Linked DNA regions of Saccharomyces cerevisiae S288C. The gene in region 2 interacts genetically with the main gene of each other region. Each region holds a gene or a part of one and is shown on either strand. Other genes may lie near its edges.

What was found.
Region 1: of MCP1 (region 2) and OM45, extra expression of one rescues a mutant of the other (dosage rescue), as found in Saccharomyces cerevisiae (one study listed by BioGRID).
Region 3: of MCP1 (region 2) and YPT35, changing one suppresses a phenotype caused by changing the other (phenotypic suppression), as found in Saccharomyces cerevisiae (one study listed by BioGRID).

What each region holds. Positions count from the first base shown.
Region 1 is NC_001141.2:89,721-97,332, reverse strand, and holds OM45 (Om45p), read right to left. Parts: upstream 3,715-7,612; coding exon 2,533-3,714; downstream 1-2,532. Other genes in the region: YIL134C-A (uncharacterized protein), read left to right, coding at 608-811; VHS2 (Vhs2p), read left to right, coding at 958-2,268; TMA108 (Tma108p), read left to right, coding at 4,545-7,385.
Region 2 is NC_001147.6:764,787-772,061, forward strand, and holds MCP1 (Mcp1p), read right to left. Parts: upstream 2,992-7,275; coding exon 2,083-2,991; downstream 1-2,082. Other genes in the region: HER1 (Her1p), read left to right, coding at 1-1,779; WTM2 (transcriptional modulator), read left to right, coding at 3,623-5,026; WTM1 (transcriptional modulator), read left to right, coding at 6,014-7,275. UniProt on the Saccharomyces cerevisiae protein: Recruits the lipid transfer protein Vps13 to mitochondria thereby promoting vacuole-mitochondria contacts. Involved in mitochondrial lipid homeostasis.
Region 3 is NC_001140.6:320,651-327,942, forward strand, and holds YPT35 (Ypt35p), read left to right. Parts: upstream 1-4,115; coding exon 4,116-4,760; downstream 4,761-7,292. Other genes in the region: SBE22 (Sbe22p), read left to right, coding at 1-2,322; GRE3 (trifunctional aldehyde reductase/xylose reductase/glucose 1-dehydrogenase (NADP(+))), read left to right, coding at 2,759-3,742; thioredoxin-disulfide reductase TRR2, read left to right, coding at 4,948-5,976; septin CDC12, read right to left, coding at 6,163-7,292.

The DNA.
Region 1 (7,612 bases), on a different chromosome or scaffold from region 2:
ATTCCTATGAAAGCTACTGCTCTTCACGTACTCCTTCACTTTTTTTTTTTCAGTTTAAGTTTTCCAATTTTTTTGTAAGATGAACCTTTCAGCAAATCTGTTAAGAGTCAATTTCCTCGGTAAGAAATATAAAATATAAATGAATATAGATTATAAAACAGACTGTACTTAAACAGCCCCCGTCAATACGATAACGCAGTAAAATAAATGCTCATCATGATAAATCCAACAAAAAAATAAACGGAAGGAAACTGAAAAGAAAAAAAAAGGAAACGAAGAAAAACATAATTTATCGTTTGATAGCAGTAAGTCGCAGATCAAGTCGCGCCTGTATCCTTACAAACATGACGACATTGAGCTGTACAAAGCTATGACCAACCGTTCCATAATTAACTCTTTTCAACACATTGAAAATAAGACTTCCCCCATCGAAGCATCAAGTTCTTGCATGTCACAAGATACTTGATCGTAACCTCCTGAAGGTCCCTTTCAGAAACACATGGAGTGTAGTTTACTAGGAAGGAAGAAGAGACATCGAAAACTTTTTCACTTTATATAGGTGAGAAAAATGGTGCAAGAGAGCATGACCGTGTATGGTGACATATAAATGGTTGTTGGCAGCGAATTTAACAACACTGCAGATGTAGATGTCGTAGCTATCCTTCTCACGTTGTTGAATGCTGACTATTTTGTTATTAAGCAACGCCTTGTTAGTGCTTGTTTTACAAAGCGTATTAAATGGTATTTTATTTATGCTATCGCTTTATTATCTTTATTTTCATCACGTAACACGGTGTGTGCGCCATATTAATGTTGCAACAGTCGTGAGGTGATTAACAAACAGTATCAGACTAAACTCACCCTTTGGTGATATGCAATTTCTTGAGGCGCAAAAGGTTGATCCTGAAAGCTTTTGTGATAGACTACCTTCAAGCAAAGCGAACGTAAACGGCAAAGATGGATACCAGCAACCACAACCAAGACCACGACTCCCACGTGGCGGCACAGAGGGAGAACGACAATAATTATATGCCACCTTCCCCCTCCATGAGCGAGAGTTCTATGATTTTTGAAAGAAATGTAGAGGACCCATCATACCTTTATAAAACGGTGTCAAACAACGCTGCAAACTCTCTCTCTAGGCAGAGCAGCAGGACCAGTTTGTTCAATCATAATAATTCTAGTAATAGGAACTTCCATAACTTAAGCCAGAGATCGTCTGCTGTGAATCTACATTTGCAACCTTCTAGGACTAATGAGTCAATAGCATCGTACCAGACATACAATCCGGATTTTGTTGTGCAGACTCCACTGGATCACCGTCGTACCTTAGAGAATTTCGTCCCTCCTGCATTAGACGCTGGCTGTTCTATTGTAACTGACGACACGACTGGCCTTGATGACGTTGATATGGTTTATTCGAGAAGGCCATCTACCATCGGCCTGGATAGAGCCCTAGGTAGGACAAGAAGTCTTTCGTCACAATCTTTTGATAACGAAACGTCGCCTGCGCATCCAAGATCTCCCAACGACCATGGTTCAAGACTACTAAGGTTTTATTCCTACGCTGACATGTTGTCCGATGACAACAATAACAACGTTAGTAATGCGACATCAACATCATCAACTGCGAACCCCTTGAGAAGACCCCCAATGCAAGGTCACTACTCGTTCTCGTCGTCCCTTTTGAATTCTCCTTCTCATTTGCCTTCCCCCCCATCAGCTTCGGCATCACCACCTCAGCATATGAACTTCACCAACCCTTTCATCATATCTAGACGTTACTCTAACACAACGATCAACAATGCCAATGGGGGAACCAGCGCTGGAAGCACTACGGGGGCCGCACTATCAAGATCGCCATCGAACCAACAGTACTTACTTAAACAACAAAGGTCACCTTCAGGGAGCGCCCGTTCAAGAAGAAACAGCAATAGGCCCGGCAGTGCTGCCAACATTATGATCGGGAAACCTAAATCCAAATTCCATATGGAATCCAGTGGCAGTGAAGGGTTTTCTTCCGAAGAGGAGGACAACACTATGATTGAAAGAGATAAACTCAATCTAAAGCAAAAATTGCAGTCACAACTGGCACAACCACCATCAATTGCCAACATGGTTAACGATAATCACAATAATACTAATAAACACAAGAATACTATTAATAATAACATCAAAAATAGCCCTGCGTTCACAAACTCGAATCCAAGTTCAAAATCAAATTCAAACTCTACAATAACCTCTATGAATCCAGACACAACCAAATAAAGAAAACTGAAGGGCCGCGATTGTTCATTTCTTCAACCTTCTTCTCCTACTCTAAAAATTCATTTAAGTCTCTTTTTTCCATATATATAGATATATAACGGTATTTTATGTATGCACGTATACCCCAATAATGCCACTAATTTACTCCGTTTTCCAATCCATAATCAGCAAAGACCATATGTGATTTCAAATATAAAAAATGAGAAACATGTGAATATGTATATATGTTATGCGGGAACCAACCCTTTACAATTAGCTATCTAACTAGTCCTTTTTCGAGCTCCAGAATTTACCATCACCCTTATCATTCCATTCTTTGAATTTGTTCTTGGCTTCATCGTACTTTTTCAACGCTTCATCGTACTTCTTTTGGGCCTCATCTTTTAAAGCCTGCTTGTCATTGTCGACCTTGGAAGTCCATCCAGACCACCAGTGGCTGCCGTACTGTTTCAAGTCCTCCTTCGCCTTAGATAACGAGTCCATGGCATCGGACACGTTCTTATCCAGTTGTTTCTTTGAATTCTCATAATTCCATCTTAAATCGTCCATTTCGTCCTTGGAAAGTTGAGCGGCTGTTTCACCCCATCCTTCTAAACCTCTGGCTACCCGTTCAGCAATCTGTTGCTCGCTTTGCTCCCCTTTGTTGTAACCAAACCAGCCCTTTTCCTTGATCTTCTTCAGCTCGTCAAGACGTTTTTGCGCCTCGCTTGGCTCTGAAGAAGCATTTCTCTTGGCTTCCTCCAACTCTTCTCTACCAAACTCCTGTGCCGTATCACCCCAGCCTTGGACACTTCTTGCAGCGGCTTCTTCAGTATTAGCGTCACCCGTGTTATTCTTCAACAGGCGTTTCAAAGGATTACTGTTCCTTTCCTGTTGGTCTAGCTTGTCCGAAAGCTCATTAAAGTCTCTGGCTCTCCCGTACCTTTCGTACTCAATGGATGCTCTGTCCAGAGCGGCCTTCTTCTCTCTCATCACCGTGGACAAGAGCTCCTTCTCATTACGATCCACTGCCTCTTCGAAACGCTTCTTAGCAGTATCAAATTCCCCGATGGCTATGGCTTTCCTTCTTTCAGCCTCACTAAACCCCCAATTGAAGATGCTTTGCGAGGAAGAATCCTTGGCTTTTTGGCCTAGCTGCTTGCGTGTCTGAGCATCCTCTTCCGGTGATATCACACGCTTAGTTACCTTTGGAGCCTCTTCCCTAGCCTTTTGAGATACGCCCAGAAGCGCGTCTTTTAACGACAAGGCATCTTCCTTTATGCCTTGCTTTATGTTATGTAGCTTTCCCAACTGTGGGGGTGCTGAACTGCCGTACTCCTGGCCGTTGTAGTAAGCGGAGACGTTGCCCTCTCTTCTCTGACCCTTGGCCTTCTGTTCTCTGACCATGATGCTAGCTGTGATGGCAGCTGCCAATGCTGCACTGCCGACAATTATTCTTGATGACATCCTTATCTGCTTGTTTTATTAAATGATTAACGTTACTGGCCAATCAAAAATACCCTTTATTTCAAGAAAGGGCAAAGAAGCAGGACTTTAGCAAGAACCGTTTCCCCTTATATATACTCCTCTTCAAGGAACTCGACAAAATAAGGGTCAACAAACTCCTCCCTTAACCCACACGGGCCACCGGCGAGCTTGTGCTCCTGCGAATAGCAGTACACTATTGGTTGTTGCAAATCCTGACGATTCACTTTCAAACACCATGCAGGCAGGAGAGTCAAACAAGACTGTTTGCTGTGTTATTGTCACCGCTGATGGTTGTGATGACCACCGCTTACCTATGACGAGGGGCAACGTCTTCACATTTCATGTTTACCACCAATATGCCAATTATTTTAAGAAATCTGCATAACAGAAGGACGCCAGCTGGCCATAGCATTTATAGATTCCTGCATTAATGTAACCGTCCGCACACCGTATGTATCAGCTTGTCAATTATTATATGAAATGTATATATATTTACGAACTTCAATTTTGTCAACATATTTCTGGAACAAGACTGGCTGGAACGGCTCAGCACACACAGGACAGAATATCAAAATTCTCGAGTACTTTGAGAACCCCCTTCAAGTGAGGTACCACCCTTGGTTGTAGTCTTGTATATTAATCCTTCTTTTCTTTAGTATAAATCGATCCTTTCTATTATACAATTCGCCGGTAATTTTTCAGTGAAAAACGAGTTTTGCAGTCAAACCATTCCTGGATGTGCTATACAAAAAAAAGGTCCGAAGACGTGTAAAGGATATATAACGCCAGGTTGATCATCACTAACCATCATGTCTGATAATTTGTTATCTTTAGAGAATCCGGTGGTGCCTAGTCACTATGAGTTGCGTCTAGAAATTGACCCTAAGCAGTCGTCGCCCAATTTCAAAGGATCCGCCATAATCCATTTGAAATTCAATCCGAACTCCACCACCTTAGCTTCTATCGAAGACAGTTTTACCCAGTTCAAGTTACATTCCAAGGATTTGATTGTGTTGTCTGCACATGCCACCATAGGGTCTACTAAGTTTGATCTAAAAATTTCTCAGGACACTGGAAAGCATTTGTCGATTTTCAACTCTGAATCTCCTATTCAATTGTCCAACGATTGCCCTCTGATTTTGTCCGTGCAATACGTGGGTAAAATTCGTGACATAAAAACACATCATGATAAGACTTTTGGTATTTTCAAAACCAATTTTATGGATCGTAAAACCGGTACTGCCAATAATCACGTCGTTGCTACTCACTGCCAACCGTTTTCCGCTAGCAATATTTTCCCATGTATTGACGAGCCTTCAAACAAGTCCACTTTTCAATTGAACATTGCAACGGATGCACAATATAAAGCCGTTTCCAATACTCCTGTAGAGATGGTCGAAGCTTTGGATAGTTCTCAAAAACATTTGGTGAAATTTGCCAAGACACCTTTGATGACTACTTCCGTATTTGGTTTTTCTATTGGTGATTTAGAATTTTTGAAAACGGAAATCAAGTTGGAAGGTGATAGGACTATTCCCGTTTCAATTTATGCACCTTGGGATATTGCTAATGCAGCTTTCACTTTAGATACAGTCCAGAAATATCTACCTTTGTTGGAATCCTATTTTAAATGTCCATACCCTCTGCCAAAGTTAGATTTCGTCCTACTACCATATTTAAGTGACATGGCAATGGAGAACTTTGGTATGATCACCATCCAACTAAACCACCTGCTCATACCACCAAATGCCTTGGCCAATGAAACCGTCAGAGAGCAAGCACAGCAACTCATTGTCCACGAACTCGTTCATCAATGGATGGGCAACTACATATCTTTTGACTCGTGGGAATCTCTTTGGTTTAATGAGTCTTTCGCTACTTGGTTAGCTTGCCACATACTAGAACAGAATGGTGACCTATCCCATTATTGGACCTCGGAACCTTATTTACTACAGCAAGTGGAGCCGACCATGTGCAGAGATGCAGCTGACGTTAATGGAAGAAGCATATTTCAGATTGCGCAACGGAACACTGGCATAGATTCTCAAACCTCCGATATTTTTGATCCTGAGGCATACACAAAGGGTATTATCATGCTGAGGTCCCTGCAATTGGCTACAGGCGAATCTCATCTACAAAAGGGCCTGGAAAGTGTATTTGAAGATACTAAAACATTTCATGCGAGAAGCGTCAAACCAATGGATATATGGAATCATATCGGAAAATTTTTGAAGTCTCAAAATATTACAAACTTTGTTTCATCTTGGACAAGAACGCCAGGCTTACCTGTCGTTAAGGTCGAAGTAGAAGAGAAAGACGGGAAAACGCAAACAAAATTGACTCAACACAGATTTATCAATCAATTATCTACTGAAGAAAAGGATCAGTTAGAAGATGTCCCATATCAGGTACCCTTATTCGGGGTTCTGCCAGATGGTAAAATGGATACTAAAAATGTACTATTGACGGATAGGACCTTAAAGTTCGATTATCCTATCTTAGTAATTAACCATTTAGCCCAAGGTTATTACCGCGTTTCATATGAGTCCGAAGAGTGCTATGCATTGATTAATGATAAAATAACTGAGGAGACGTTATCCGAGATTGACCTTCGGAAGATTTTCTTAGACTTGTCGCAGTTTATTGGAGATGAGGGTTTCCAGAATTCTATTCATTTGCACGGTCTCTTTAAGATACTAAACCATATCGCTTCTCCTTCCACAAAGATTGCATCAAAATATTGGGATCCTCTTTCCAAGGGGTTGGAAGTTCTGCAAACGATCGATCGTGCCAGTTTAACGAGCTCTAAATTACAATCTTTCTTAAAGAAAAAAATTGTCATTCCCCTTTTCAATAAGATTGATTGGCCCCACGGTGAATTTGATAAAAGCACAAACCCTCACGAGTTGAAAGTCATGTCTCAAGTCTTGTTTTTAAATAAAAACTCCGCAAAATGTGCTGAATTGTGTCAAATTTATTTTAAACATCTATTACAGGGCCCACGTTCGAGCGTACCGTTAGAATTAGTGAACTCAATCCTTGTCGTCGTATCGCAACATTGTGCAAACATCAAGCAGTGGAAGAAAATATTCGATTTGGTGAAACGCAGTTCCTGTACTGGTATCACAAACCATGTCATTAATATGTATGACCAAAACAGTAGCGAAACCGCCATGTTGATTCAAAACGGTGCAATAGAATCTCTTGGATTCTGTTTAGATTCTGATATCGTGAAAAAAACTTTGAATTTTATCACTTCCAATATTGAGTCAGAGGGGATGGAACTGGCATTATTCGGATTTAATTACAACTTTAAGAAGAGGCTGAACAAAAACGAGAAACCTCAAGACCAAGTCGTTCGTGAAACGATCTGGGAGTGGTATATGGGCAATTTTGACCAATGGGCACGGAAGGCTACAAGGAAAGGTACCACCACGGGGGATCATCTACACAAGGCGTTAAGGAGTATTTCCCTGATAATCTTTCAAATGTTTGTAGCAGACGAGCCACAGAAGATAGAAAAGTTTATTAATTTGGAGAAAGAGAAGTTGGGTCAAAGCTTGTTATCTTTGGACGACATCTGGGCCTCTGTCCAGCAAGATGAAGAGTCCAGAAAGACTATAAGAAGAGACTTGGCCTCCTTGGTCTGATTTTTTACAAGTATTTCAACACACTATCGTACGTAGATTTAGTAGTCTTCTAAAATAGTACTATAAACGATGTTCTCTTAGCAGAATTCGAGTTATTATTGTCATATACTACGAAAAACCTGTAGATTCAACAATAATAGGTTGGTATAAAAGAATGTAAACATAAGGAATATTAATCTAGTAATTTTTTTCTCATGAGGTTGAGAAAGCATCTAAAATAGCAATTA
Region 2 (7,275 bases):
TTCGCACAAATGAACCCTAAAAACCCTATTCGTCTCGGGATGGCTAACGTAGAATTCTCAACCGAGTGTTTTGATTTTCTCTTTAATTGGATGTCTGAATATAACGTTCAAGGTGTGGATTTGGCCTATAATAATTTAGAAAGTTTGGCAAAACGAATGATCAAAAAACTAGCTAGGCTTCCTTATAAGCATTTGGAATATTTTACCCTTAACAGCACTAATATCACCTCTGTTGATGATATGTCCTACATACTAAAATATCTTTCACGTTTGCCAAGCATAAAATTTCTAGATTTGAGCAACTTGCCTCAGTTATTCCCGGGGATTTTAACATCCGGCTATAAGTATTTTCCCCAATTTCCACAACTGAAACGTATTCATTTTGATTTCGACGATCTTTCTATAAAAGAAACAACCATGCTTGTCAGCATATTAGCTAAGTGTGAAACCCTCTCTCATGTTTCATTGATAGGACAAAGTCCTATGCCCGATGCAAGTAAAATATCCGACAGTACTGATGAACCCGATAAGTCGAAAGATGAAAAGAAAGAACAAATCGTATTTATGAGAAATACGCTTTGGGCCTCATTGTATGCATTTGTTAGGGACTCTCACAATTTAGTTAGTTTAGACGTTGACTATGATCAAGTACCAGACGAAATTCAATCAAGAATTGCGTTATGCTTAATGCATAATATGAAGAGAATTATGGACTCTAGCTTTAAATTAGATGAATTGACTGTACAAGATGATTTAATATTTGATGGTTCCTTGATAACTGAGACAGCAGAAGAAGTTTTGAAAAGATTAAATGACAAATCTTTACTTCAAAATGATGTTGGGAAGAAATATCTTTTAAAGAAATATTTTGAGAAAATGGAAAAGGTACATCATAATGTTCAAAATACAATTGATTCTATGTTTGAGAAAAGAAAATCCGGCGAACTGCCACTGCAGGAAAAGGAAAACCTACTAAGGTTATTGCTTCTTGAGAAAAATTTATCAAATATTCTTGATATTTTTGCTTCTATGCCCAATATAGCAGATGTCGTACCATTTTCAAAAGCCGATAATAGTTTCCCTAATATTGGGGATAGCACGGTTAGCGCAAACTATAATGATGGTATTCGTCCATCTCTAAAACACTTAGATTCTGACAGGTTAATCAACGATGTTTCAATTCCTGAAAACGATTCATCAATTAGACCACACTTAATGGCCACCGACTCGGGACGAATCATCGATGTGACCACTGGTAAAGCTCTTCTTTTCAAGAGTTCGTCTAATACCTCACTGGCCGGCAAGAGACAGGAAGAAGAGGAAGGTGAATTACATAAATGGGGTGTGTTTGTACAGCACCAAAGCTCAAGACATAACTCTGGGCTTCCTTCATCCGCCAATTCTTCGAGAATTAGCGGGTCGTTAACACCAGATAGCAGTGTCGCCGGAGGAAAGAAAGGGGAATCCTCTCGCACATCTGGTACAAGGCCAAAAATCTTACCAAAGATTCCTACCGGTGCCGAATTAAGGGATGCCATTATTAAAGCTAAGGGTATTGATTCTGTAGATGATCTGATTAAAAATGTTACCTCTGAAAAGGTTGGATTGGAATCATTATATGGAGATGAATTGAACTCTAGAAGCCCGAGTAATGACAGTTTACAAGAATCACAACAAAAGGCGCCTTTGCAGAGGCCCCTTGTTGAAGATGAAACAGTGACAAAAAAATATGACAAACTATTGAACGATCTGTCTAATGTTCGTCACAGTAAAACCTAAATTATTTTATGCTTCTGTCTTTCCTTTCTCTTTCGATTATTAGAAGGTGCATCTTTGTATAAATATCCCATCAATAATGTATTCTTAGGAATCTATATATGTATGTACGTTTTATGTGTATATGTATTTTACGTTTTTTCATAATCATATACTTTCTGCCGAAATTTTTTGCCTTCATTATGCACACTAATGTTATTAATCAGATAAAAATACAGAAATTTAAAATAAATACTGAGAATAATATAATTAACTGTTCGAGAATTGTCGCAAATTAATAGCTTCACACTACTCCCACAAGGATTCCTAATTCACGTGCAACAGCAACCGGATCTTTTTGAAAATGCTTTCGAATTGGTTGGGACCCAGTTTCGTAGAATCCTCTTTCATCAATCTAATCAGAGAAACGAACCCAACGAGTGTTAATAGATTGATAGCTGTGGACCATTTTTTCCTGCTAGTCATTTTTCTAACACCGAAATAACGGCAGAGCCCCGAACCTATATGATATACACCTGACTCGAGGAGAATAGCTAACGGCACCAGGCCTCCAAGCCATTTCCACCACCTGTTCTTGCTAGATAGTAATTGCTTTATAGAGGCGAAATCCACCTCAGTAGAGATGGAATTCGGCACCCATTTCATAATTAATAAGTGGTATATCAGGACGGGAACAAGGATGTATCCACTAATCACTTGTGGAGGAATGCGGAAGGTCTTATACAATCCAAATAAATAGCCAGAAATTCCACCAGTTAAACCAATCGAATCTTGGGATAGATCTTGTTCGGCCGATATCTTTAAATGTCGATGTCTATTTCTTCTTGGCTTGTTCCAGTTGTTCACGATTCGGAGCAAGACACCAGCAGAAACATGAAGAGTAATACCCGCAACTAACAGCTTGGTAGTTATGGACGGTAAAATCTCTCTCACCATCATTAAAACGTCGTCAGGAGCAGAATCAGGTGATACTGCCGGCGTGATTAATGTATTTGCTGCATGTAGTGGGAAATACAATGCCATGGGCAGTACCGAAATCTTTTGACAGTTCCAAAGGAATCTCCGACATGAACTCCTGGAAAAAGGATACGGAATGCCAAATATTTTTTTCCTCTTATCAGGATTACCATCTCCTTCGGGGCTATGTGCATTAACATCATGAGGGAGACTAGCAGGGTCTACTGGTTCTGGAGGCACTTCATGCAACTTTATCATCGTAATAAACAAAACTCTGGGCTAACTGGTATATGCCCTAGTAATTCGGGACCTGTTAGGAGCAATACAATCTACACAAGGTTTTCCTTACTTATTTTCCAATTGACGACCAACTTGCCTCACACAATTACAGAGCACGTATTCGCTCTCTAGCCACTCTTTTCAAAACAAATTTTAGTTGTGGACCTGGTTAGGATACAATCAGCGATGTCGGAAGACTGATGTAGTAGAATTGACTGGAACGCTTCTTCTATAGTCTACACGGAAGCTATACTCCCTTGAATAGATGGTAGATGTTCCGCATAAGGTTTGTCCTTTTGGTTTTTTAGCCCCGTTCGGGGTTCGAACTGCTAAGTCATATTCCGCACATATGCGTCCGCAGACTCTCATTGGATCATTCTTACCCATTCGGGTCATAATGCAAGCCTTTACCATTTATGGCACTTTGATTTCCCTTTCCATCTCACATCTTCAATTCTATTGTTTTTGAAAAAAAAAAAAAATAAAAAAAAAAAAGATTAAAGGCAATTAGTTAGCTGACGTATGGAACATCTCTGCTGTACAGCTACATTTACTTATAAGACAAGGAGCAATTAGTAGCGACGGGAGCAAGAACTAAAAAGGATAGAGGATGGCGAAAAGCAAATCCAGTCAGGGTGCGAGTGGAGCACGCCGTAAACCGGCACCTTCTTTATACCAACACATTTCTAGCTTTAAACCACAATTCAGCACAAGAGTCGACGATGTTTTACATTTTAGCAAGACACTGACATGGAGAAGTGAGATTATTCCAGACAAATCCAAGGGCACCTTGACGACTAGTCTTTTATATTCTCAAGGTAGTGATATTTACGAAATAGACACTACTTTACCATTAAAGACATTCTATGACGACGACGACGACGACGACAACGACGACGACGACGAAGAAGGTAACGGCAAGACGAAGTCTGCAGCCACCCCAAATCCAGAGTATGGTGATGCTTTCCAAGATGTTGAGGGGAAACCATTGCGCCCAAAGTGGATTTACCAGGGCGAAACAGTGGCAAAAATGCAATACTTGGAAAGCTCAGACGACAGTACGGCGATCGCGATGTCCAAGAACGGCTCTTTGGCATGGTTCAGAGATGAGATCAAGGTTCCCGTTCATATCGTACAGGAAATGATGGGCCCTGCTACTAGATACTCTAGTATTCACTCTCTAACCAGACCAGGTTCATTAGCAGTGTCAGATTTTGATGTGTCGACAAATATGGATACGGTAGTAAAGTCACAAAGTAACGGCTACGAGGAGGACAGCATCTTGAAAATCATCGACAACTCCGATAGACCGGGAGATATATTACGTACAGTGCACGTTCCAGGGACCAACGTGGCTCACTCAGTTAGATTTTTTAACAACCATTTATTTGCATCTTGTTCAGATGACAACATTTTAAGATTCTGGGACACAAGAACAGCGGACAAACCGCTTTGGACGCTAAGCGAACCGAAAAATGGACGACTAACGTCCTTCGATTCCTCTCAAGTTACTGAAAACCTATTTGTCACTGGGTTCAGCACGGGTGTCATCAAGCTATGGGATGCGCGTGCTGTGCAACTGGCTACTACTGACCTCACACATAGGCAGAACGGCGAGGAACCGATCCAAAACGAAATAGCCAAGTTGTTCCATTCTGGCGGCGATTCCGTTGTCGATATCCTGTTCTCACAAACCTCTGCAACAGAATTTGTTACGGTTGGAGGAACGGGTAATGTCTACCACTGGGACATGGAGTACTCTTTTTCAAGAAACGACGATGACAACGAAGACGAAGTTCGAGTGGCTGCTCCGGAGGAACTTCAGGGTCAATGTTTAAAATTTTTCCACACAGGTGGCACAAGAAGATCGAGCAACCAATTCGGGAAGAGGAACACTGTGGCGCTACACCCCGTAATCAATGATTTTGTTGGCACTGTTGATTCAGATAGTCTTGTTACTGCCTACAAACCATTTCTGGCCAGTGACTTCATTGGCAGAGGTTACGACGATTAAAAAAAAAAAAGAGTAAGAAATTAACGTTACCACCTATGGGAAAGGCAGTAACTCACAAGCATTCACGTACATAATTCTGTTTTTTTTTTTTTTATTCATTTCTAGCACGCTATCGGGGTTATTTTTTTTTTTGTAATATATAGTGATGGTATAATGTTGTATAGATACTGGTATCGCTCCTAATAAAGACTCTTTCAGATTTCTGAAGCCAACGAAGTAAGGCCTCAAGAAAAGAGGGTTACCAGTAATTAACCAAGCAATTTCTTTTTTTTCTTTCCAGCAAAGAAATAAGACAAAAACCGGCTATATGGAGAAGAGGGAGGATCTAATGGTGACATAGTCCATTTCAAGATTCCCTCTTTCGTTTCTCGGATGAAGCTCGATGTTTACAATTCAGAATCTTAAAAGGCTGTCGCTAAGAAAGACCCAGAGGCACATGCAAGATAGTTGTGCCTGTACCACGTGAGAAGGCGGTATTCAATATGCGGTGCTGTGCTGGCTTCCCTTTTTGGAACGCGCCGGGGTATAACAAAGAAAGGCTAAGTCATACAATAGGCAAAAGACCTTTGTCTTTCCTTTTTTTCCTCTTTCCTAACATACGGTGGTTTATGTACTATCCCTTATGTAATTGCTTAGCTATACACAGTGAGCACACATAGTGGCGCTCACTACTCCCTTTTAATTTCAACTCGTAGATAGTTGGGCTATTTTCCTTCGAATCCTCGTTTATCATCTCATATTTAAGAGTACCATTTCGGGGCTTTTTTTTACCTTTTCCTTTTCCATGCAGTCTGTCCCCTTAATGTTCTATGTTTTTTTTTTTTTTTTTTCAGTTCTGTAGCTTCCAGTATAAAGGGAGGGAAAAAAGAAGATCCGAAAAGTTTATATTCGCCTGAATTGTAGATATTAGATAAGAAAATTAATTATTAATCAACCAATCTTGAAAGATACAAATAAATTGTAACACACTATACATTACAACCAAAAATGCCAAAAAAGGTTTGGAAATCATCTACGCCTTCCACTTATGAACATATCTCCAGCTTAAGACCAAAATTTGTGTCTCGTGTGGACAATGTTCTGCACCAAAGGAAGTCCTTGACGTTCAGCAACGTTGTTGTTCCAGATAAAAAAAATAACACTCTAACCTCAAGTGTTATATACTCTCAAGGTAGTGATATCTACGAAATTGACTTCGCTGTACCACTACAAGAAGCCGCTTCAGAACCGGTGAAAGACTATGGTGACGCCTTTGAAGGTATTGAAAACACCTCGTTGAGCCCAAAATTCGTGTACCAGGGTGAAACTGTCTCCAAAATGGCCTACTTAGATAAGACTGGAGAAACTACATTATTGTCGATGTCTAAGAACGGGTCGTTGGCTTGGTTCAAAGAGGGTATAAAGGTCCCTATTCACATTGTACAGGAATTGATGGGTCCAGCAACCAGCTATGCCAGCATCCATTCTTTAACCAGACCTGGTGATCTACCTGAAAAGGATTTCTCATTAGCCATCTCTGACTTCGGCATTTCCAATGATACCGAAACCATTGTGAAGTCTCAGAGTAATGGTGATGAAGAAGACAGTATTTTGAAAATCATTGACAATGCCGGTAAGCCTGGTGAGATTCTACGTACTGTTCATGTGCCTGGTACCACTGTGACTCACACCGTAAGATTTTTCGACAATCATATCTTTGCGTCTTGTTCAGATGACAATATTCTGAGGTTCTGGGACACTAGAACTTCCGACAAGCCTATATGGGTGTTGGGAGAACCAAAGAACGGAAAATTGACCTCGTTTGATTGCTCTCAGGTTTCCAACAACTTGTTTGTTACCGGTTTCAGTACGGGTATTATCAAGTTATGGGATGCCAGAGCGGCTGAAGCTGCCACCACTGATTTGACTTATAGACAAAACGGTGAAGATCCAATTCAGAATGAAATCGCTAACTTCTATCATGCCGGCGGTGATTCTGTTGTCGACGTCCAATTTTCTGCCACTTCAAGCTCTGAATTCTTTACTGTGGGCGGCACTGGTAATATTTACCACTGGAACACTGACTATTCCTTGTCAAAGTACAATCCTGACGATACCATTGCTCCTCCTCAAGATGCCACTGAAGAATCACAAACAAAATCTCTGAGATTCTTGCACAAGGGTGGAAGCAGAAGATCTCCAAAACAGATTGGAAGAAGAAACACCGCCGCTTGGCATCCAGTTATTGAAAACTTGGTTGGTACTGTCGA
Region 3 (7,292 bases), on a different chromosome or scaffold from region 2:
AACTGTAGCGACAACGGCAATGGGGGAAATATGCTAAATTCATTCGTTAACTCGGCTTTACCACCGCCAAAAGTCAACCCTGCTCAAACAAGACGTGAACGTCCCGCTTCAAATAGCTCAATAGGTACCAAGACTACCGAGGTATTTTCATCCACTTCTGCATCTTCCTCCTTGGGAGATACCAGCGATGAGGGAGAAGGCAGTGATGCCGACAAATCTAAAATAAATACTTTTCCCAGCATATTGATGGAAAAGGCTACTCAAGGTAGAGGCGCTGATGGAAATGGAATGAGAAGCGCAAGCAATAATACCATTGTGGAAGCAACTACGGACGGTTCCAAAATGGCACTGCAAAAAAGCATGTCGTTTGATGATACAGCCGCAGAGAAAACTATGAATAAATCTAGACATTCTTACCAAGAACAGTTCTCCTCGAAGAAAAGCCAGTCATCTTTACTGAACAGCAAGCAAAGATCACGTGCTAAATCGCAAACATGCTCGTCTACGGGTTATAACAACAGCAGCATTCTGAAAACGTTTGGCATAAGCTCCAAAATTTCTAATTCAAGTGATCGGATAGAGGCTTCGTCATTAGAATTTAACGTTCCATCTCAGAAACCTTTGAATTGCAAGCCATTAACTCCGTCTCAGAAATACAGACTTCGTAAAGAGCAATCGGAGATGAATTTAAGAAATACAATCAAAAGAAAAGAGAAATTTTATGATAGTCAAGAACAAATTCTTGAGTTACAAGAGGGAGACGTTGATGATTCGTTGATTTGGAACGTTCCTATGGCATCATTATCTACTAATTCATTTCTAGCGTCTGCTAAGCCCGATGATATGAATAACTTGGCTGGCAAGAATGACTTATCAGAATATACCGGAGGTTTGGTAAATGATAACTCTGAAATTTCTTATACAAAACAAAATCATAGGTACTCGAACATCTCTTTTGCGAGTACAACATCAAACGCCTCATTATTGGACTTTAATGAGATGCCTACGTCTCCGATTCCAGGTTTGAACAAAGTAACTGATTTTCAGTTCATTCAAGACACAACCAAGAGTCTAGCCTCTGTTTATTTGCATTCTTCCAATAGGCTTTCAAGATCTAAGCTGTCCGAAAGAACAAAGTCTTCCGATTTCTTGCCAATTGAACTAAAAGAAGCTCAAAATCAAGGCATGGAAGATTTGATACTTGTCTCGGAGAACAAACTAGATGTGGTCAGCCATTCAAGACCGAGTTGGTTACCACCCAAGGATCGCCAGGAAAAAAAGCTTCATGAAAGGCAAATTAACAAAAGCATGAGTGTTGCTTCCCTTGACCAACTAGGAAAAAATAAAGACAGAGAAGAAAAGTTGATTAGAGATGAAACAAATAGGCAAAAATATGTGTTATTATTGGACAGAGATATAACTAGAAACTCCTCCTTACAAAGCCTAAGTAAAATGGTTTGGGACACTCCATTTAGTGACGAAACTAGGTCAACAATTTACAGCGAAATTTTACAGAGCAAGACTAGGTTTATTACCAAAAACTATATTCAACCATTTCATGAGCTACAGGAGCTTTTAACAAAAATGGGAGACTTTCCTAAAAACAAGGAAATTGAAATATCGCAGCTAATCGAAACAAGTTTGAGGCGAAAAGTGAGCGGTTTACATGATATATGTCCTGATTTGATGCTTTTATTGAAGATAAAATCTATCTCATCACAGGGTATAGTCACCGGTGATGAACTCCTTTTCCATCATTTCTTGGTGAGTGAATCATTTCAGAACCTGGGGCTAAACGAGATTTGGAATATTGTTAATTTAGTACAAATGACGTGTTTTAATGATCTTTGTAAAGAAAAGTTCGATGCAAAGGTTTTAGAACGTAAGGGTGTCGTAGCCGGTTATTTATCGCAAAACGAGGAGTTCAAGGATGAATTTAATACGGAGTGTATAAACTCTACCACCTGGTGGAACATCCTAGAACGTATTGATCATAAGCTTTTTATGTGGATCATGGATATTATAGTAGTCAACAATTCCCAGAGCTACAAAAATAGCCCAATCAACGAAGATGAGTTTGTTAACAAGGATTGGGAATATTACCGCTCGAAGAAAGTGGTAATAAACTACAAGATCTTGATTTCATTTGCATTAAATGTATTGTTAAATTACCACTTTGGATTCACTGATTTAAGAAGTCTTTGTAACGTGAATGACCAGAGATTTTGCATTCCAGTATTCATCAATGATGAATTCGTAGACGCAGATACTGTAAATGCCGTGTTCATCAAGAAATGGGCGCATTACTACAAGAAGTTTTGATATTTTTTGTAACTGTAATTTCACTCATGCACAAGAAAAAAAAAACTGGATTAAAAGGGAGCCCAAGGAAAACTCCTCAGCATATATTTAGAAGTCTCCTCAGCATATAGTTGTTTGTTTTCTTTACACATTCACTGTTTAATAAAACTTTTATAATATTTCATTATCGGAACTCTAGATTCTATACTTGTTTCCCAATTGTTGCTGGTAGTAAACGTATACGTCATAAAAGGGAAAAGCCACATGCGGAAGAATTTTATGGAAAAAAAAAAAACCTCGAAGTTACTACTTCTAGGGGGCCTATCAAGTAAATTACTCCTGGTACACTGAAGTATATAAGGGATATAGAAGCAAATAGTTGTCAGTGCAATCCTTCAAGACGATTGGGAAAATACTGTAATATAAATCGTAAAGGAAAATTGGAAATTTTTTAAAGATGTCTTCACTGGTTACTCTTAATAACGGTCTGAAAATGCCCCTAGTCGGCTTAGGGTGCTGGAAAATTGACAAAAAAGTCTGTGCGAATCAAATTTATGAAGCTATCAAATTAGGCTACCGTTTATTCGATGGTGCTTGCGACTACGGCAACGAAAAGGAAGTTGGTGAAGGTATCAGGAAAGCCATCTCCGAAGGTCTTGTTTCTAGAAAGGATATATTTGTTGTTTCAAAGTTATGGAACAATTTTCACCATCCTGATCATGTAAAATTAGCTTTAAAGAAGACCTTAAGCGATATGGGACTTGATTATTTAGACCTGTATTATATTCACTTCCCAATCGCCTTCAAATATGTTCCATTTGAAGAGAAATACCCTCCAGGATTCTATACGGGCGCAGATGACGAGAAGAAAGGTCACATCACCGAAGCACATGTACCAATCATAGATACGTACCGGGCTCTGGAAGAATGTGTTGATGAAGGCTTGATTAAGTCTATTGGTGTTTCCAACTTTCAGGGAAGCTTGATTCAAGATTTATTACGTGGTTGTAGAATCAAGCCCGTGGCTTTGCAAATTGAACACCATCCTTATTTGACTCAAGAACACCTAGTTGAGTTTTGTAAATTACACGATATCCAAGTAGTTGCTTACTCCTCCTTCGGTCCTCAATCATTCATTGAGATGGACTTACAGTTGGCAAAAACCACGCCAACTCTGTTCGAGAATGATGTAATCAAGAAGGTCTCACAAAACCATCCAGGCAGTACCACTTCCCAAGTATTGCTTAGATGGGCAACTCAGAGAGGCATTGCCGTCATTCCAAAATCTTCCAAGAAGGAAAGGTTACTTGGCAACCTAGAAATCGAAAAAAAGTTCACTTTAACGGAGCAAGAATTGAAGGATATTTCTGCACTAAATGCCAACATCAGATTTAATGATCCATGGACCTGGTTGGATGGTAAATTCCCCACTTTTGCCTGATCCAGCCAGTAAAATCCATACTCAACGACGATATGAACAAATTTCCCTCATTCCGATGCTGTATATGTGTATAAATTTTTACATGCTCTTCTGTTTAGACACAGAACAGCTTTAAATAAAATGTTGGATATACTTTTTCTGCCTGTGGTGTCATCCACGCTTTTAATTCATCTCTTGTATGGTTGACAATTTGGCTATTTTTTAACAGAACCCAACGGTAATTGAAATTAAAAGGGAAACGAGTGGGGGCGATGAGTGAGTGATACTAAAATAGACACCAAGAGAGCAAAGCGGTCCCAAAATCATTTGAGTAACCGGATATCTATCGGGATATTAATAGCAGCTTCCATTTCAACTAAAACAACAGCAAGATATGAGCGACAAGATATCCTTTCTACCTCCCGAACCCATCCAACTACTTGACGAAGACTCCACGGAGCCTGAACTCGACATTGACTCACAACAAGAAAATGAGGGACCCATCAGTGCGTCAAACAGCAATGATAGCACTAGCCATAGTAATGATTGCGGTGCCACAATTACCAGAACAAGACCTAGACGAAGCAGTTCTATCAATGCAAACTTTAGTTTTCAAAAGGCTCATGTCAGCGATTGCACCATAGTCAATGGCGACCATGGAACAAAGTTTGCTGTCTGGAGAATTACCGTATTTCTTGAACCCAACTTGAAGGCTTTTGCGGCCAAGAGGGAAAGCTATAAAATCCAAACCTATAAACGATACTCCGATTTCGTCAGATTACGAGAGAATTTGCTCACAAGAATCAAGACAGCGAAACCTGAGAAACTTAACTGTTTGCAGATTCCACACCTTCCCCCTTCAGTGCAGTGGTACAGTTCTTGGAAATATCAAGAAGTGAATCTGAACAAGGACTGGCTGGCAAAAAGACAGAGAGGGCTCGAGTACTTCCTCAATCACATCATCCTTAACAGCAGCCTCGTAGAAATGACCAAAGATATACTCATACAGTTTCTAGAGCCTTCAAAACGAGTTGCATAGCTCACCATCCCTATCCAACCGACTATTCTTCTCATCGACTACTACTATCCCATTTAACTCGGGCGCGTTGTTAATTAATCACTCGATGGGGAATGCCTTGAGCTGACCGCAATGAAAACTTTTAGGGGATCGTCCAACATTAAAGGAAGAACGAAACGGACTCCACAGTTTCTAATATAAATAAACAATGATAAAACATATAGTTTCGCCATTCAGGACGAATTTTGTTGGCATCAGCAAGTCCGTGCTGTCAAGGATGATTCATCACAAGGTTACAATCATAGGTTCTGGCCCCGCTGCCCACACCGCTGCTATATACTTGGCAAGAGCAGAGATGAAGCCCACATTATATGAGGGAATGATGGCCAACGGAATTGCTGCTGGTGGCCAATTGACAACAACCACCGATATCGAAAATTTCCCAGGGTTTCCTGAATCGTTGAGTGGCAGTGAACTGATGGAGAGGATGAGGAAACAATCTGCCAAGTTTGGCACTAACATAATTACCGAGACTGTCTCTAAAGTCGATTTATCTTCAAAACCATTCAGATTATGGACCGAATTTAATGAGGATGCAGAGCCTGTGACCACTGATGCTATAATCTTGGCCACGGGTGCTTCCGCTAAGAGAATGCATTTACCAGGGGAGGAAACCTACTGGCAGCAGGGAATATCTGCCTGTGCTGTATGTGATGGTGCAGTCCCTATCTTTAGAAACAAGCCATTGGCCGTTATTGGTGGTGGTGACTCTGCGTGTGAGGAAGCGGAATTTCTTACGAAGTATGCGTCGAAAGTATATATATTAGTAAGAAAGGATCATTTTCGTGCATCTGTAATAATGCAGAGACGAATTGAGAAAAATCCAAACATCATTGTTTTGTTCAACACAGTTGCATTAGAAGCTAAGGGTGATGGTAAGTTATTGAATATGTTGAGAATTAAGAATACTAAAAGTAATGTGGAGAACGATTTAGAAGTAAATGGACTATTTTACGCAATAGGTCACAGCCCTGCCACAGATATAGTTAAAGGACAAGTAGATGAAGAAGAGACGGGGTATATAAAAACTGTGCCTGGATCGTCTCTGACTTCTGTGCCAGGTTTTTTTGCTGCAGGTGACGTTCAGGACTCTAGGTATAGACAAGCAGTTACTTCTGCTGGTTCCGGATGCATTGCTGCTTTGGATGCAGAACGGTACCTAAGTGCCCAAGAGTAACGTGAAAAAACCGGTTTATTTTTGTTTTTACTGTTCGATTGTGTTACGTATTCTATGTTTTTTGAGATATATTTGAAATATTTTTATAAGATACATATATATATGTGCGTATTGCTGCGACAAAAGAAGAGACAAAGAGATAGGCGTTGAAATTGACGAGACAAAGAGGAAGACATTAATTAATCATCATTTTAAATGGGATTTTTTTACTTGCAAGCTTTTGACCTGCTCTTCTAGTTTTTTTACCTTTCCTTGAATTTCTTCCAAGTCACCGTTCAGTCTGATTCTTTCGTTAACAATGTTTTGCTCCCATTGTCTAAATCTTTGCTCCTCAGCTTTGACTTGGTCAGTGAAATACTTCTTCAATGCATTTTCTTCTTCTTTGTATCTAGGATTGTGTGACAATTTCCTTGCTGGTGCAATTGCTGGAAGAGTGAAATCTTCATTCCCCTCCCCGGTGTTCTCGTGACCCTCAAGTCTTAATCTTCTGTATGTTTCGTAATGCATTTCTTGGGTGGTAGAAATCAAATCTAATAGATAAGTCCTCAGTAACAGGGCTCTGAGCTTACGGAAATCACAATGAGAATCGTTTTCGATTTCCACAAGTCCCCAAGGATACTTCCTTGCAACTACCTGAGTGCCTTGCCCATTGTCAAATTTTTTTTCAGACCCTACTATGGCAAATGGCATTGCTTCTATCAACTGTCTTGCATGTTCAACAGCGGCAGAATCTGGATTACTGCCACTTTTGGCATCTTCCTTAGAATCAGCGTCTAATGGAGGCGTGAAAATACGAATTTCTTGAGCTTCTATTACTTGCCTGATTCTGGACTTGAACTGTTGTAATTCTTGGGCAGTCAATGTATCAGCTTTCGCAATAACTGGAATCAGATTGGCTCTGGTTGACAATCTCTTCATAGTCTCAATGTCAATTGGCTTTAAACCATGTCCAGTGGGCCTGATGAAGTACAGAACGGCATGAACTCTCAAGTCAAATTTCTTAGTACGGTACGGTTGCTGCTCTTGACGCATATAAGAATCGTGTTGATCATCAATAAAATCCACCAATGGTTGCCAGGCTTTGTTGTTATTCACGTTATCTCCAAAACCTGGGGTGTCGATGACATTAACGCGTAATTCGAAATGCTTCTCTTCCAGCAAAGCTCTTGTGATGTCGATTTCTACAGTCTTTCTGATGGGTTCTTGGCGGTGTTGCTGACCATCTGCCCTTTTCAAGACAGTCTGAAATAAGGTATTAATAAATGTAGTTTTACCCAATCCGCTCTCACCACATAACATCACGGTGAATGTACCAC